2 linked regions of the Alligator mississippiensis genome follow. The protein of the gene in region 1 interacts with the protein of each later gene in a pairwise test. Links are inferred from orthologs where the notes say so. Each region holds a gene or a part of one and is shown in the gene's direction. Other genes may lie near its edges.

The links. The genes of interacting proteins can lie anywhere in the genome.
Region 2: the proteins of AGTRAP (region 1) and MIEF2 interact in binary tests that used the Homo sapiens proteins (3 or more experiments, as listed by UniProt). The two-hybrid records come from large-scale screens. The link is inferred for Alligator mississippiensis from reciprocal best matches to the Homo sapiens genes AGTRAP and MIEF2.

Annotation. Positions count from the first base shown.
Region 1 is NC_081836.1:12,389,239-12,396,356, forward strand, and holds the start of AGTRAP (type-1 angiotensin II receptor-associated protein), read left to right. Parts: upstream 1-2,262; 5' UTR 2,263-2,319; coding exon 2,320-2,346; intron 2,347-7,118. UniProt on the Homo sapiens protein: Appears to be a negative regulator of type-1 angiotensin II receptor-mediated signaling by regulating receptor internalization as well as mechanism of receptor desensitization such as phosphorylation.
Region 2 is NC_081836.1:55,064,269-55,071,386, forward strand, and holds the start of MIEF2 (mitochondrial dynamics protein MID49), read left to right. Parts: upstream 1-2,600; 5' UTR 2,601-2,713; intron 2,714-2,757; exon of another isoform or gene 2,758-4,341; intron 4,342-5,843; 5' UTR 5,844-5,851; coding exon 5,852-5,998; intron 5,999-7,083; coding exon 7,084-7,118. Other genes in the region: FLII (protein flightless-1 homolog), read right to left, coding at 399-470, 1,009-1,119, 2,239-2,301. UniProt on the Homo sapiens protein: Mitochondrial outer membrane protein involved in the regulation of mitochondrial organization.

The DNA of each region.
Region 1 (7,118 bases):
AAGCTGTGTCATGCTGAGTGTCTGAAATCAGCAGCTGCTTCTGAAAGTCTTGGCCATCTGTTTCTGTGGGTAGACCGAGGCTCTGTAGGAAATGGGGAAGTGAGAAGCAGCTTATCACCCAAGTGGAACGTACCAACAAGGGAGACATTTTCTACCTCTTCTGGGGAAAACTGGTACAATAGGAGCTTGCTCAGAGGACTTGTGCAGCTAGGTTAGCTCATTATCATCATCATTTGGGCAGGGGGCTGGACTCGATGATCTTCCGAGGTCCCTTCCAGCCCTAATGTCTATGAAATTATTGCTGGTTGGGGATCTTCTGGGGCTATCACAGATCCTGCCTTGTAAGAGTCCAGGTGTAACTAAACAGCAGTAGCAATACATTTCTCAAGTAAACTTGCCCTGTGCTGAGCCCTCTTCTCACTTGCTGGCTCTGCTGTTTATGATCTCAGTTCTCTGTGTGGCATTTAGTAGACTAGCACCTTATAAATAACAGGTCACTTCACTTTGGCATTTGATTAGCATTTTCTAGATCCCAAAACACAATGACTTCAGCAACCAGGGGGACTATAGATGCAATGACAGGCAGGTCAAGTAGGGCAAAAATTGTGTCTGCTGGGAAGATCATTGGTTCTAAATTAACTATTGTCCTGGATTCCCCAGTGCTTCCTGCATAGCCTTGCATTGCAACACTTCAACAGTAAACCAGATTACGATATGACTCATCCACTTCCCATTCTGCTTCCGTTGGAACTCGGGACTCTTATTTCTCAGAGGCTTCATCTCTGCTGTGAAATGGGATTGCAAGGAGCAGCTGATTCAATTAAAGCATTTCCGTCTGCAGAGGCAGGTGAGTTAAGTGTCTGCAGGACAAGGAAAGTCAGGTGAGGAAGATGATGCTCTTTGATCCTTTATATTCTCTCTAAAATGACTCAGGGTGAAATCCAGTCCAGAAGTCAGACCATAGGCTAAGTGAGTGGGACACTGGGAACTCTGATCCCTGCCTAGCTGTCTGCTATGAACCTCTTTCACAGTGGGGGATGGATTCATTCCTGTTTCCCCCATGCCTTGCTGAAAGCTGTGAAATGGTCTCACTGTGGGAGGGCTGGGAAGGGGTGTGGCTAGGGTGGCCATCATAGAGGACAGTCTGGTTGCCAGTCTTCAAGAGAAAAATAGAGGACAAAGGTGTCCAGTTTCATATCAATAGAGGACAGAGTAGCAGAAAACAAATTTGAAAGCAGCTGAAATTCATTTCAGAGTGTCCTCTATAATGGGCACCCTAGGTGTGGCATGAGCTTTCTCATCTCTTCACAAGAGGTATTTCTCTAGCAAAGGGGATTTAGGATCCAGATGGCTTGTGGCCTAAAACAGTTTTTTTAAAAGAAATTTTTCATGTTCCAAGCCAAATCAAGTCCAAATCTGTGAGTCAGTCCAGAACTGTAAGTGGCCCTACACCCAGCAAACATCCTCCACCCCGCCTGGAGCTTCAGATATTTCCAAAGTCTTTTGGCTATCACCCTATGTGCAGGCCCAAGCCCGGAGGCCTGGCGTTCGGATGCCCCCAAGTTTTGCCTGCCCGCAGCCATATGGCCGCAGCAGCAAGGTAGGGAGCAGCCTCCCATTTCCATAAAGTGGGCATTAAGCCCCAACACCTCGTGGGTACAAAACCACGCCAGAAGAACAGTTCTCTCGGGGAATACTTAAGGAAAACTGCCTTCCTGGACCAGATACACAGCGTTTCCTCTGCCAGGTAAGTATTAGGCTTGCGGCCTAAAACACACAAAGGTAGAAGGATGCGCAGTCACATGGGAAACATGAGTATGCACACACGCAGCCTCCACGGGGCCTGTCCTGGAACCTCTCCCCGTTCCCAGTGAAAGCACACGCTGCTCCTGTTACCAAAAGGGACCGATCCACCAGCGACTGCAGGTGTGCAGAGCCCCGCACAGCTGTGGCCAGGGTGCGAAAGTGCCGGCTGCCCCTTGAAGTGTGTCCTGGTTGCCTTTCCCCACCAGAGCTCTGCGGCTGTGGCTCCTGCATGGGTGGGGTGGGTGCTGCTGGTGTCCCTCCTGGGGTGGCACATGAATGAAGCGCAGGCTGTGGGTGGGTGACAGCCAGCGTGGGGCACCCTCAGGCACTGGCTGTTGGCCATCTCCCCTACCCCCGGGGGGGGCCGGCTGCCACCTCCCCGGGGCCTCTCTCTGCAGGCCGGCTGTAGAGGGGCGGGAGAAGCGGGCGGCCCCACGCGGGGAGTCACGGGGCGGCGCGGGCGGCGGGCGGAGCCGCCCCGAGTCGGGAGGCGGAGGGTCCCCGCGCGGCAGCATGGAGGTCCCCGCTGTGAACCTCAAGGTGCGGGCGAGGGCAGGGCGAGGGGGGACGGGACGGGACGGCACCTCCCGGCGGGCGGGCGGGCGAGCGAGCGGAGAGCGCCGCCTGCTTCCAGCCCGGACTTCACCCCTCCGGCGCCGCTCCCTGCGGCTGCCACGGGAGGTCCTCCCTGCGGAGGGTGGGGGGCAGCGGTGGGCGCAAGTGGAGATGAGGACAGGGCAGGAGGAGCGCAGTGGTTTCACACAGTCCAGCCTTCAGACTTGCTTTCTTCTTCAGGCCCTTGGTGCTTGCAGGACTCTTGGCTGCGGTCCAGGCCTCCTCCCCCTGCACCCCTGATGCTCAGCGATGAGTGGGGTGCTGGGGCCCTGGGTGCTGGGGGGCGAGCGCGGGAGCCAGGGACTTCCTGAAACGCTTGTCACGCTTCTGTCACGTGCGTGTTTCTGCCCCTGCGCTGCAGAACATCAGGAAACAGGCAAACTTCCTACCGGGGGGGAACAGGCAGCATTTCAAATGCATTCTTGCAACATGAACCCTGTTAGTTATTAACCTAGTCCTGCCACAGATGCTACTTTCAGGCCCGGCGTTAAGAGCCTGGAGGCTGTGAGACGCAGCGGATGGTTTGTTTTGCTTCCTAACAGAGCTGCCCTTTGCCAAGCTCAACCTTTGCCAAGTTTTCAGATAGGGTGGTGCTGGGCAAGGCTTGTCTCTGAGGAAGGTCACCATGCCCCGCTAGATTTTGATCACTAAACCTTGGTGCGTGTGATATTTTTTAACCTGCAGGGTTTGAAGCCCCTGCTGAAAAGCTGCGGGCCAGGGCTGTGCAGAAAAAGAGGCTCCCTCAAGTGTAAGTGCGAATCAACACCTTAGTGAGAAGCGTGTCCTTCCTAGGAGAGGGGAGATGAAAAAAAGGCTTGAGTGCTCTTGAACTGGCTTCTGACTGAGTTTGTCTGGCGTCCAGGCACCTGGCTGGGGGGCTGGAGCTCCGCATGAGGGTTGTCTGCGTTTGTGGAGGTGTTTTTGCAGAGTAACTCCAAAACAATTGTGCCGCCTCACCTCACGCGCCCAATTCCTTTTGGATCAGCTCAGCTGCTTGGTGCCGGTTGCGCAGCATCCTGGGTAGGTGCCACAGGCGACCAGGCTCTCTGCACGCAGGGTTGTTCCTTGTGTGTTGCTGTTGGGACTGGCAAACACCCAGGGTTGCTGTTCCCCCTCTCTTGCTTCCCGTGCAGTTTTGCAAGCTAGCGTCGTGTTTGAACTGCTGGCAGTCAGCGTGCAGGGGATGCTGCTGCGCCCCACAACCCTAGCAGTCCTTAATATGCAGAGGCTACTGCAGCTATGTTTGCCATTGCAAGAGTGGGCGACTGTGGGTGCCAGTGCTGCTCCCCTGAGCTGGGTGAAGGTCTGAAAGTGGATTAGCCACTAGATGAACTTTTCCTGGATTGGTTTTACTCTGTGGAGCTCCAATTCTCTGCTCAGGGGAGCTCACACTACCTAATAGGAACGGATGGCAGTGCAGACTGCGGATGGGCAACAGCTGTAGCAGATCATTGGCTGATGTGTTTGCAAGAAGAGCAACCCCAAGCCACATCAGGGGCACAGCTGCCTGTGGGTCCCCCTTCATGTGGAGAAGCACAGGCCCATTGCCATCTGGAAGTCTGCCGCCCTCAGCACTCCAGACAGCAGCTCACCAGTTTGGGGCTGGTCATTCAGTGCTCAAGGGTGCTGTTGCCATGGAAATGTGTTGCTATAGAGGATGCTGGTGCTTGCAATATGCTACATTGTCAGAGCCTCAGTGGGGAGGATGTCTTATTCCCCTGCTTTGAGGTGAAGCACTGGGAATTTGCAATAAAGAAGGCCCTCAGGAGAGGGCACCTACAAGGATTTCAAGGAGCGGACCCTTTGGCCATAATAGCCTTGCTCCTCACCGAGCTGCGTACATGGCAGCAGCTTTTGCATTCTGCTGGTTTAAAGGTTGCATCACTGCTTTCAGTACACCCCAGCAAAAGAGCATGGAGCTTCGTTTTTCCAAACAGTCAAGATGTGGAATAGATGCCTCCCGGTGCCCGTTGTCTGTGGGTGTGTGCTGCTCTGGTGGCAGACTGCTATAGACACAAAATCCCTGCATGGGCCTGCCAGGGGGTGCGGGTGCAGAGTCCCCATGCTCATGGTGTCTTGGTGGAGTCGCGAGGAGAGGGCCCCTGGCTGGAACCGCCGAGTGCCCCTTACGTTTCAGGGCAAAGCTACGTGGGGTTGTGGACTGGGCAGGAACGCTGCATCAAGTGTTGTCCAGCCACTGGTTCTGCATGTCCTTGCTTGACTGCTGTCCCTGCGCCCTCTCCAAGGAAGCCTTCCCCCCTCTCCTGTCATCCTTATACAGCATTTCATCTCTGCTTTCTGTCTTCTCTCGACCTGGGGCCATGCCAGGTGCTGTGAGACCAAGGAATCACGGTCAGGATGTCCTTGTGTGAGTTGGGTCAGCAGTGATATAGGAGTTGTTCTTGTGCCAATTCCGGTCTCTGCAGCAACTAAGATAAGATGTTGCTGACACCTCAGTTTGGGAAGGCCACTGGCCAGGTCTCGTCTCAGGCTGGGCTGAGCTTGGAGGAGTGAGATGTCTCCCCTCTGCCCTTCTGCTGGCTTAAAACTCCTTGGGTTGGAGGTTTGGGGGCAGCAAGGGAGAAGGGTGGCTCAGAAAGGCAGTTGTAGCATTGCTGTGTTTCCTGCTGCTCAGCCAACTCAGAGAAGTCCCAGCCTCTGAGCTGCTCGGGGGGTGGGGGCACCCAGGCTGTCATGAGAGAGCACGTGGCCCTGTGTTGTTGGGGCCAACATGGTGCATGCTCTCAGCTGAAAAGTCTCCCTTGTGACCTGAACGGATCAGCCCAAAACAGGATATGAAGGCTTGCACTGTCATTGTCCTGAATCTAAACAGTTAACAATGCTGAGTTTGCTTAAAATCAGCTACATGCCTTCTAATCTCTCCACAGTTTGCAGCGTCTCACTTTGGGTAATAGGCAGACAAGGTTCTTTGGGTGAATCTGATATCTTTTATTAGACCAACTTAAATAGTTGAAAAAAAAATTACATTCATCCCCCACTTCCCCTGCCTCTCTCACCCACTGACTCCTCAATTTACATCTTCACTAACTGCCTGTCTTGCATGCAGGCCAGCCCAGCCTCTGGCTTCTTTACTATTCATTCCATCCAGGAAGAGCACACACTAACTGCAGAGGCTTCCTCAGCCTGACAAAGGGTTTTTAAACCCAAAAGCTTGCTAAAAAAATTATTTTCCAACTATTTAAGTTGGTCTTATAAAAGATATCAGATTTACCCAAACAACTTTGTCTGCCTGTGTCTTTAGACCAACACAGCTACAACCTACACCCCTGTCACTTTTGGTAAGGCAGCTCACAAATCGAGGTGGATAAGGCAGCATGGGAGAGGAGCAGGGTGGCTTCCAGTGGCAGGGAAGGTCATTCACAGTACGCTTACAGTAGGCTTGCTTGGCCTGCTTTTTTCGTGAGCTAACTTGTCCCCCACAGATCAGAATCCAGCTGGCCAAGGCAGCCAGATGATTCCAAGGAAGAATTGTCTGCCGGAGGTGAAGAACTTAGAGACAGGTTCACTTGAGTCCCTTTCCCGTGAGAGTTGAGCCCTTTTGTGTTTGTACGGGAACAAGGACATCATCAGAAATGTTCCCATCTCAAGAGGTTACAATTTGACTAGAACAAAATAAACCAAGTAGGAAGGGAAATACAGTCCCCCACGTAGCACACAGGGACCCAGGTTCAGAGGGAGTAAGTTGTTTGTCCGAGGCCACGTGCAGAAAAGAATGGTGGAACCAGGAATTGACCACAGACCAGGCTGGCTTCCAGGTCAGTGGTTTGTACATGCCCATCCTTCCCCTCCACCTGGGACCCTTACAAGGGCAGGTGGAGGGAGACATGTTCATAAAAAGCCTCCCTACCCATGATATCTCTCTCAGATCTCACTTGGGGCTCACTAAAGCTGTTCCTTTCTGTAGAGGAAGAAATTTCAGTGCTTCTCAAATCTGGGATTAAATCCTTGAGGAAAAAGAAAGGAAGCCAGTCCCTCCCACTTCTCTCAGCGGGAGTCTGTCTGCAAAACAACTTGCTTTATGTGGCAAGGCGAAAATCGCTCTGAAAAGCATATTCCTTCCATCCCGTGATGTCTGCGGCTCTGTTCTGAGCTGCACTGAGACCACTGCATAGTTCCCTGAGTCCCAGGATAGCTGTCTGGTAACTTGGGCTAGGAACGAGGAAGAAGATGATCCTCTCTTGCATTCAGTCCCAGTGTACCACTGCTATGACCCTCTTTCATCCCCATGGCAAAGCCTGCGCTGTAACTTAATGACTGCAATATTGGTATAGACAGTTATAAAAAAAAAAAATCAAACCCTGTCTAATTATGCTAACCGATGAGCCGTCAGGGGGTCCAGCTAGTATGTAATGTGCAATTAAATACTATCTCATTAATAATTTCCCCAATATCGTGCAGTCTCTTGAGCCAAAGCTATTTGCATTTCTCCATTTCAGACGGGAACATCCTGCATTTCACTGATTAGCAGCAGCTGTCTGGTCTCTGGGGCAGGATGCTGGTGGTGGAAGTAAGCGTTTTGTAGCCGTTCAGGAACCATTAAAAAAAATACTAAAACCTTTTTAAACAGCTTTTGAAGTCACAAAAAAATCCAAGCTATCTGGGACTTGCAGGCAGTCCCAGCTGTGGCAGCGGGTCACAGCTATGCATGGCCCACAGAGCATTGCGAGACTGTGGTA
Region 2 (7,118 bases), about 43 Mb from region 1:
TAGGCGTGGGGGAGGTCTGGCACCACCCAGCCAGGGGAGCTGCTCAGCAAGATGCCAAGAAAGGTGAGGGCTGAGGATTATAGCCCTACGCCCCCACAAGCATCTTCATGGAGCGAGGGATTCAGCTTCTCCAGCAGGGAACCGATCCAAGACAGCACCGCACGTGGGCACAGTGGCCTGGTCCAGCCTCAGCCCAGCCGGGGGCCTGGGACACTCAGCTCCACCTTTCCCTGCTGCGTGGCACCTGCTGGATGTCACTGCAGACCAGGCCAGCGAGCTCCCTAGTCCTGGCTGTGCTGAAGGGGCTTGTGCATGGCCGAAGGTGAGGCTGCCCACGTAGCTGGACACCAAGCCCCTAGCGCCTGCACGGGGGGCGTTGGGGCACAAAGGGCACTTACCCGAAGGCAGGGGAGGCCAGAGAGCTCTCCATGCAGTGTGGTCAGGCTGTTGTGGCTCACAGACAGGTGCTCCTGTGTGGAAGCCAGAGAGGCAGTGAGAAGAGCCAGGGACACAGTGAGACTTGCACACCATCAGCTCCGAAGAAGCCCCCTCGAAAGTCAACCCACATGCTCCGGTGAGCCTGGGTCAGGTCCCAGGCACCTTTCACAGCTGCAGCTGCAGCTGGGGTCAGATCCTGCCATCAGCATAGGAGCAGGTGCTGGCTCCTCCTGGCCAGCCCTTTTGCCAGCCTTATGGTGCTGCCCCAGGCACCAGCTGGGTGAGCTGTGTCAGTGCCAGGGGCCCAACTTGGCTGGGTGGCCCCCCTCTCAGCTGACACTGGAAAGCAAAGGGGCGGTTGTGCACACGTGTGTGCACATGCCAGGACACTGATCGGGCAGCCCCCACTGCCTCCCACCTGCCTTCCCACTCACCTTCTGCCAGGCCCATGCCTTGGCTCTCAAATGCCCGTGTCTCAAGCTCCTGTCCTTACTCGAAGCTCCCTGCACCGCCAGCCCTAAGGGGAGCCACCCTGTGGGAGCGTGCCCGGCATCCAGGCACCGTCCTTACCAGCTTCTGGAGTGCAGAGAGCTCCTCCGGGAGGTAGCACAGGCCCGTGCGGTTCAGCTTCAGCCATCGCAGGCTGGTCATACATTTCACGTGCTCTGGGAAATAGCCGCCCTGGGAGAGATGCGAGGAAGCATTTGTGGCAGAGGAGTGGGTCCCAGATCCCTCGTCTGCCCAGGATAGCCTCCTGCATGAAGGTGAGTGCCCCAACCCGGCCCTCTCGCTGTTGTGAGGCTGACCAGGGGTCTTGCCCACATAGACAAGGCTGCAGGCAGCTCCACCTGTGCACGGGGCCTTGTCGGCCACAGAAGCAGGGCTCCCTGTGCCTTGAACCAGCAGAGCCGTGCGTCATCCTGCCCAGCTAAGCAGCCCAGGTCTGGCAGTAGCTGCCTTCCCTTCTAGGGCTCTCAGCTGCTGGGGCACGGCCTGCAGCTCCCGGAGACACAGGACTGGGAGGGGGCACGCAGGTGAGTCCAGTGCCCTACACAAAGCATCCATCCCGGTTCCTCCTGCCCACCCCAGCACTGCTCCGTGTGCCCCCAGGAGACAGCAGGACGGACCAGGAGCCACGTACACCCTCCCACTGGGTGCTGCGTGCCCAAGGAGGATAATCATGGGGAAGCGACACCCAGCACAGCAGCACTCAGTCCGGGAAGAGGCAAAAGTCATATGAAACTCGTCCCAGAGATGATGCCGGCCCCAAAAATGCATCCCAGGAGAACGGCCAGCCCCATCCGGGATGGCAAAGGACACAGCCAGGCCTGCACACCCTCCAGGGTCACAAGGGAGATGGCTTTTCAGATGGAAGAGACTCGCCCGCCTCCGGACGCCCCAGAAGGAGAGGTGGGGGTGGCAGGGTGGCACGGTGGCCCATCCCAACCCTTCCGCTCCCCGTCCGGACCAGGTCTGCGGGTGTGGCGGGGACAGCCCGAGGCCCCCAGTCCCAGCAGCTGCAGGGCACAGCCACCCTGCACCCACCCCCGCAGACCCCAGCGCGGTGGCACTGCTGTGGGACCTGGGTCTCGCCCCGCTCCCTTGGCCGGGGAGGCACCAGCTGCGCAGGGGGACGAGCCAGGGGAGAGTCCGGCCTGACCTCACCCTCCGGCACCCAAATATAGCACCCGGGTGGGTCCTCCCCCGCCGGCCTGCTCATCGCACCGTGACGGGCACCGGCTGGGCTCGGCCCTCGATGGCAGGCAGGGCAGCCGCGAGGGAGGATGAGCGCCGCGGTACCTTGAAGTCGTTGCCGCTGAGATCCACGCCGCGGATGAAGGGGAGCACGCCCGTGGCCGCCATGGCTCCGCCGGCCCGCGACAGCCGTCGCCCGCAGGAAGCGGGGCCCGCCCGCCCTTAACCCCTTCGCCGCCGCGTCTCGGTGCGGACCCGCGCGCCGGGGCTGGAGGCTTTCGTTCCGCGCCGGGGCTGGAGGGGCGAGATCCCGACCCCGATCCCGATCCGCCGCCAGACAGCGCCGAGCACAGCGAGCAACCCGCGCCGCTCCTCCCGCTGAAATAGGGGCGCTGCGGCTTTAAGGCCAGGAGCCGCCGGGTTCCTGCCCCCTTTGTGACGCACGTTCCATTCCGGAACGTTGCAACGCGGCCGCGCTCGCTCATTGGCTGCCGCCGCTACATTGTTGCCAGCGCCGGGGTCGTGCTGTGGAGGTGCTGGTTTGTCCCGTGGACGGGCCCTGCCGGGGCTCAGAGGGAAGGTGAGTGCGGCCGGGGCGGCCCGCGGGTGGGGATGGTGACTCGAGGGTTGGGCTGAGCCCTTGGTCTTCAGTGGGGAGGCCGTCCCGTCCCTTCCCTTCCCCGGGCGGGACTGGGCTCCGCGTCCCCTCCGCTCCGGCCCGGAGCTGAGGTCAGGCGGGGAAGGAGGGAGCTCCAGTACTGCCCCTGCTCGGAGCGGAAATGGGGGGAAGCAGTTGCTTCTTGCTTCCCTGAGCCGGTCGGCCTCCCCCGCCTGCTCCTGCCCTGCCCGCTGGCTTGCTCTGCATGGAAACATCAGTCCGTGCGGCTGTGCCCGGCCTGGGGTCGAGCCTCCTTCCTGCAGTCGGGGGAGGCCCTGGGCCTGGTGCAGGGCACTGCTGTGAACACATGCCGCAGCACCATCCTGGTCGGGGCGTCCGCTCGTATAAGAGACCCGTCCTGGAAGGGGCTAGTTTCTGTCCCTTAATGAGCACACCTCAAGGAGTGATAGCTTTTCAGAGCCCTGTTGATCCTGGGATCTAGTGTTTTTGCCCTTCTGGGGCCTCACGAGCTTTCCGCTGCTGTGCGTTCCAGCTTCCAGGCTGTTTCAGAGATGCACCCAGCACAGGCCTGCTCGGCGCTGGGTTGCTGCTTAGCTGCAAGGCGTACATGGTACCAGGGCACCTGTCTTGGCTATAATAGGCAAACTGCCCCAAACCAACAGGAATCTGGCACTGAGCTCCTAATACCCTCTAATCCCCACCTCCACTGTTGTTTGCAGCTTTTCTCTTCCCATGGCGACATTGCTTGCAAGCAAAGCGGAGTCATATTTGGGGGGTGACTCCCATGCTGCATCTGTGAGTCATTCCTAAGGTTTCCAACCCTGTCGGGGCTCGAGCTGTGACATTCGCAGAGGGACCTGAAGTGGCTCTGGGCTGGGGGGTAGAAACGCTGTGCTCTGCCCCTACAACTGGGAAAGGAGAGGACTGCCGTGGAGAAGGGGCTTTGGGGGTTAGAACAAACTGCCACTTGATGCTGCCTGTAGAGCCCGGGGCCTGGCTTGCTTTGCTGGCTGCAGGAAGTAAGATGCCTACACAAATGATCTGGAACGGACCTTGCCCCGCATTGAAGTTTCACAATCTCCACACCGATCTTAAAGGAAGGCCGTGTACGCTGTGGTTGTTGATGGCTAATGATACTCCGTATTTACCCAGCACCTTGTCTACAGTTCATAAATATTCCACCTTCCCCGGACTATTGCATGTTTGTCTCTTCTGCAAAACAAGGAAGTGCTCGCAAGGGCTGTGACTTGTCCCACTGACTCACAAGTGCCTGGGCTATGTTGGAGCCTGGACTCCCGACATCCCACTTTACTACCACAGACAGGCCAAGCTCTTATCTGAGAGCTGGAGCTGAACCCTGTCTTGAATTCAGTTAATTCGCAGCAATGAGAGTCTGAAAATCCGGTTGCACTAGATACCTCTCTTTCCTTAGAGAACTGAGGAAGATGTATCTTTCATAGATTGCAGAGTCGGAAGAGACCACAATGGATCATCGTGTCCGACCCCCTGTCCAGGCAGGAAAGAGGACCGAGGTCAGATGGCCCCATCCAGATGACTATCTAGCCTCCTCTTGAAGCCTTCCAAGCTAGGTGATGGCACCACCTCTCTTGGAGATCCTGGCCACCTTTACTGTGAAAAATTTCTTCCTAATATCTAACCTAAATCCACTCTCAACTAGTTTACACCTGTTATTCCTAGTCAGTCCCTGGGGTGCCCTAGTAAACAGTGCATCACCTATTCCCCGTTGACCTCCCCTAATAAATTTATAGGCGGCCACAAGATCTCCCCTCAGCCGTCTCTTGTGAAGGCTGAAGAGATTCGGCTCTCTCAACCTCCCCCCCAGGGTCTTTCCCGAAGGCCACTAATCATGCGAGTGGCCCTCCTTTGGACCCTCTCGAGATTCCCCGTGTCCCTCTTGAAGTGCGGCGCCCAAAACTGGACACAGTACTCCAACTGCGGCCTGACCAGTGTCGCATAGAGGAGGAGCATCACCTCCTTTGATCTATTAGTCATGCACCTGCTAATGCAAGACAAGGTGCAATTGGCCTTGTTGATGGCCTCGTTACACTTGGAGTCAATTATGACTCCAAGATCCCTCTCTGCCTCCCAGCTGCTGAGAAGGACACTCCCCAACCTATAGGTGTGCCGGGGGTTCCTCCTTCCCAGGTGGAGTACCTTACATTTATCTTTATTAAATTGCATCCTATTTCTCTCTGCCCATTGATCCAACCTGTCCAGGTCGGCCTGAATCTGCTCCCTGCCCTCCTCTTTGTGCCCCTTTCCTGCTGTTGCACTACCAGGTGCATGGATTCAGTAACCTGTGAAGGCCTTGGTGTTCCTGTTGTAATATATCTTTTTACAGTGTCTGTAGTGTTGATAAGTAGGGCTGTCATAGCAAACGGTATGTTGGTTGTGGAGGCATGAAGGGGAGTGGGAGAGACTGAGTCTAAGAAGGCAGGAAGGAAGAGTGTGTGTGTGGGGGGGGTGGGGAGTGGCTGGTGATGGAGGTGGAATGATGTAGAGCCAAGAAAGGGAGTATGAGGAACTAACAGGCCTAAGGTTAGGTGTAATGCATGTCCACTTATGGACTGAAGCACATTATACCAGGCTCAGGAGCAGACAGACATGCGGTTATCTCAGGGTGGCCCATGCAGTAGATGACTGCTACAGGTCCTCAGTGCTAGCCCGTTTGAAATCTCTAGCAAATGGCTAGTTGTGGACAGACTCAGACAAACTCTAAACTGGTGTAGCTTGCTCTTGGCTTGACTCTTCCAGGGGTCATCCTCCATCAGGTTGGATGATGTTATTCCAGTTCAAGGAGTTGTCATTTGTCCTCTACAGTGGGTTATACTAGGGTAAGTGTTGGATCTGTCCATGCCCCAGAGATGGCTTTTCTGGGTCTGCTTTGTTCCCCGCAGGGCTTGCAACCTACACGCTTCTATTCACTTGTCCAGTCTAGCAGTACGTGTTCACCACACCCCTTGAAAGAATTGGGAAGATGTCCGTGATTGCCAGTGTCCTTGAATGGTCCCACAGGCCCGTGGGACTCAGCAGCAGCTCATTGTCTTGCACGTTTCTCTCCTCTCTGCAGAGTAGAATATGGCTGAGTTTATACACAAGCAGGGGAAGAGGCAGGACGACCGTGGGCTGGGCAGTGTCATCGACTTCCTCTTGGCCAACACCAGGCTGGTGCTGGGGGTGAGCGGTGCTGCTGTGCTGGCCATTGCGACTCTGGTGGTGAAACGGGTAAGGCTGGCTGCTTCCCTCTGGAATGGCATCGGCAAGTCGGGTCTTGGGTATTGTCAATCTGGGGCTTGGGCCTGGGCTGGGAGTAGCTGCCTCTTACCAGCAATGAGAGCTATGGCTCCAAGCTGCAAAGGGGTGAGATCTTCCAGTGCATCTTTCCCCAAACCTCCCCCACCACACCAGGGGAGCAGAGCAGGTGACCCATTCAAGGCTGTAACACTGCTGGGCTAGACCACACCGCTGTGTTCAGAGCTGTGGGCTGCTGCCATGCTTGGTACCCTGTGCTGCCATGCCAACTTCTGGACCTCAGGGCAGTTTGGCAAGTCAGATTCTCTTTCCAGCGGCTCTTGGTCTCCCTCAAACAGTCTGACCTGAGCCTGTAGAGTCCCGGCATGCCAAGGATCACCAAAGCCAATGGGTGTCCCTCTGGGGGATGGGCATTGCTTTGTGGGAAGCTATTGAGAGGATCTTGCTCAGCCCTGGGGGGCTAGAGCATCTCCAGATGTTGCTTGTTGTGGCAATATGTCTTTCTGTTAGAGACAATGATCCTTGGGCATCCCCTTCTACCTTCCTGGCTTTGACGATATGGGGTGCCAGAGCCCTTCATTTGAAGGAAGGGCAGGTGTCTGAGTGGGTTGCCTGTGTTGTGCACACACGAGAGGCTCCGTGGGGGAAAGTCCTACTCTTTACAGCTTGAATAAGACCTAGCAAACTCTGTGACTTTCTTAAGGCAGCAGAGCTGATCCATGGAGACAAGCATGAATCCCAATCTGAGGCATTTTGAGAACAGTACCAATGAATCCTGGAGGATTTTAGCCTTTGTTGCACCCTCCACAAGCTTTGAGGCTCTCTCCATAGCGGATGTGAGGCTTGTGGAGTGTGAGGACACCTCCAATACTGCTGCTTTCTGTCTTGAAACCTCCAGTACTACAATAAACACTAGCATGGAAAATGTCTGTAGACCGACTAGTTTCTGGTAGGACGGATGCTTTAGCTGCTGAGGTGGGTTTAGTCATTTGGATAATAATAGCTGGCAGGAGCAGCAATACACTTGCATACCTTCCTTCTCCCATCCCCGCCCCCAGATGATTGACCGAGCCACCAGCTCGCCCGACGAGGA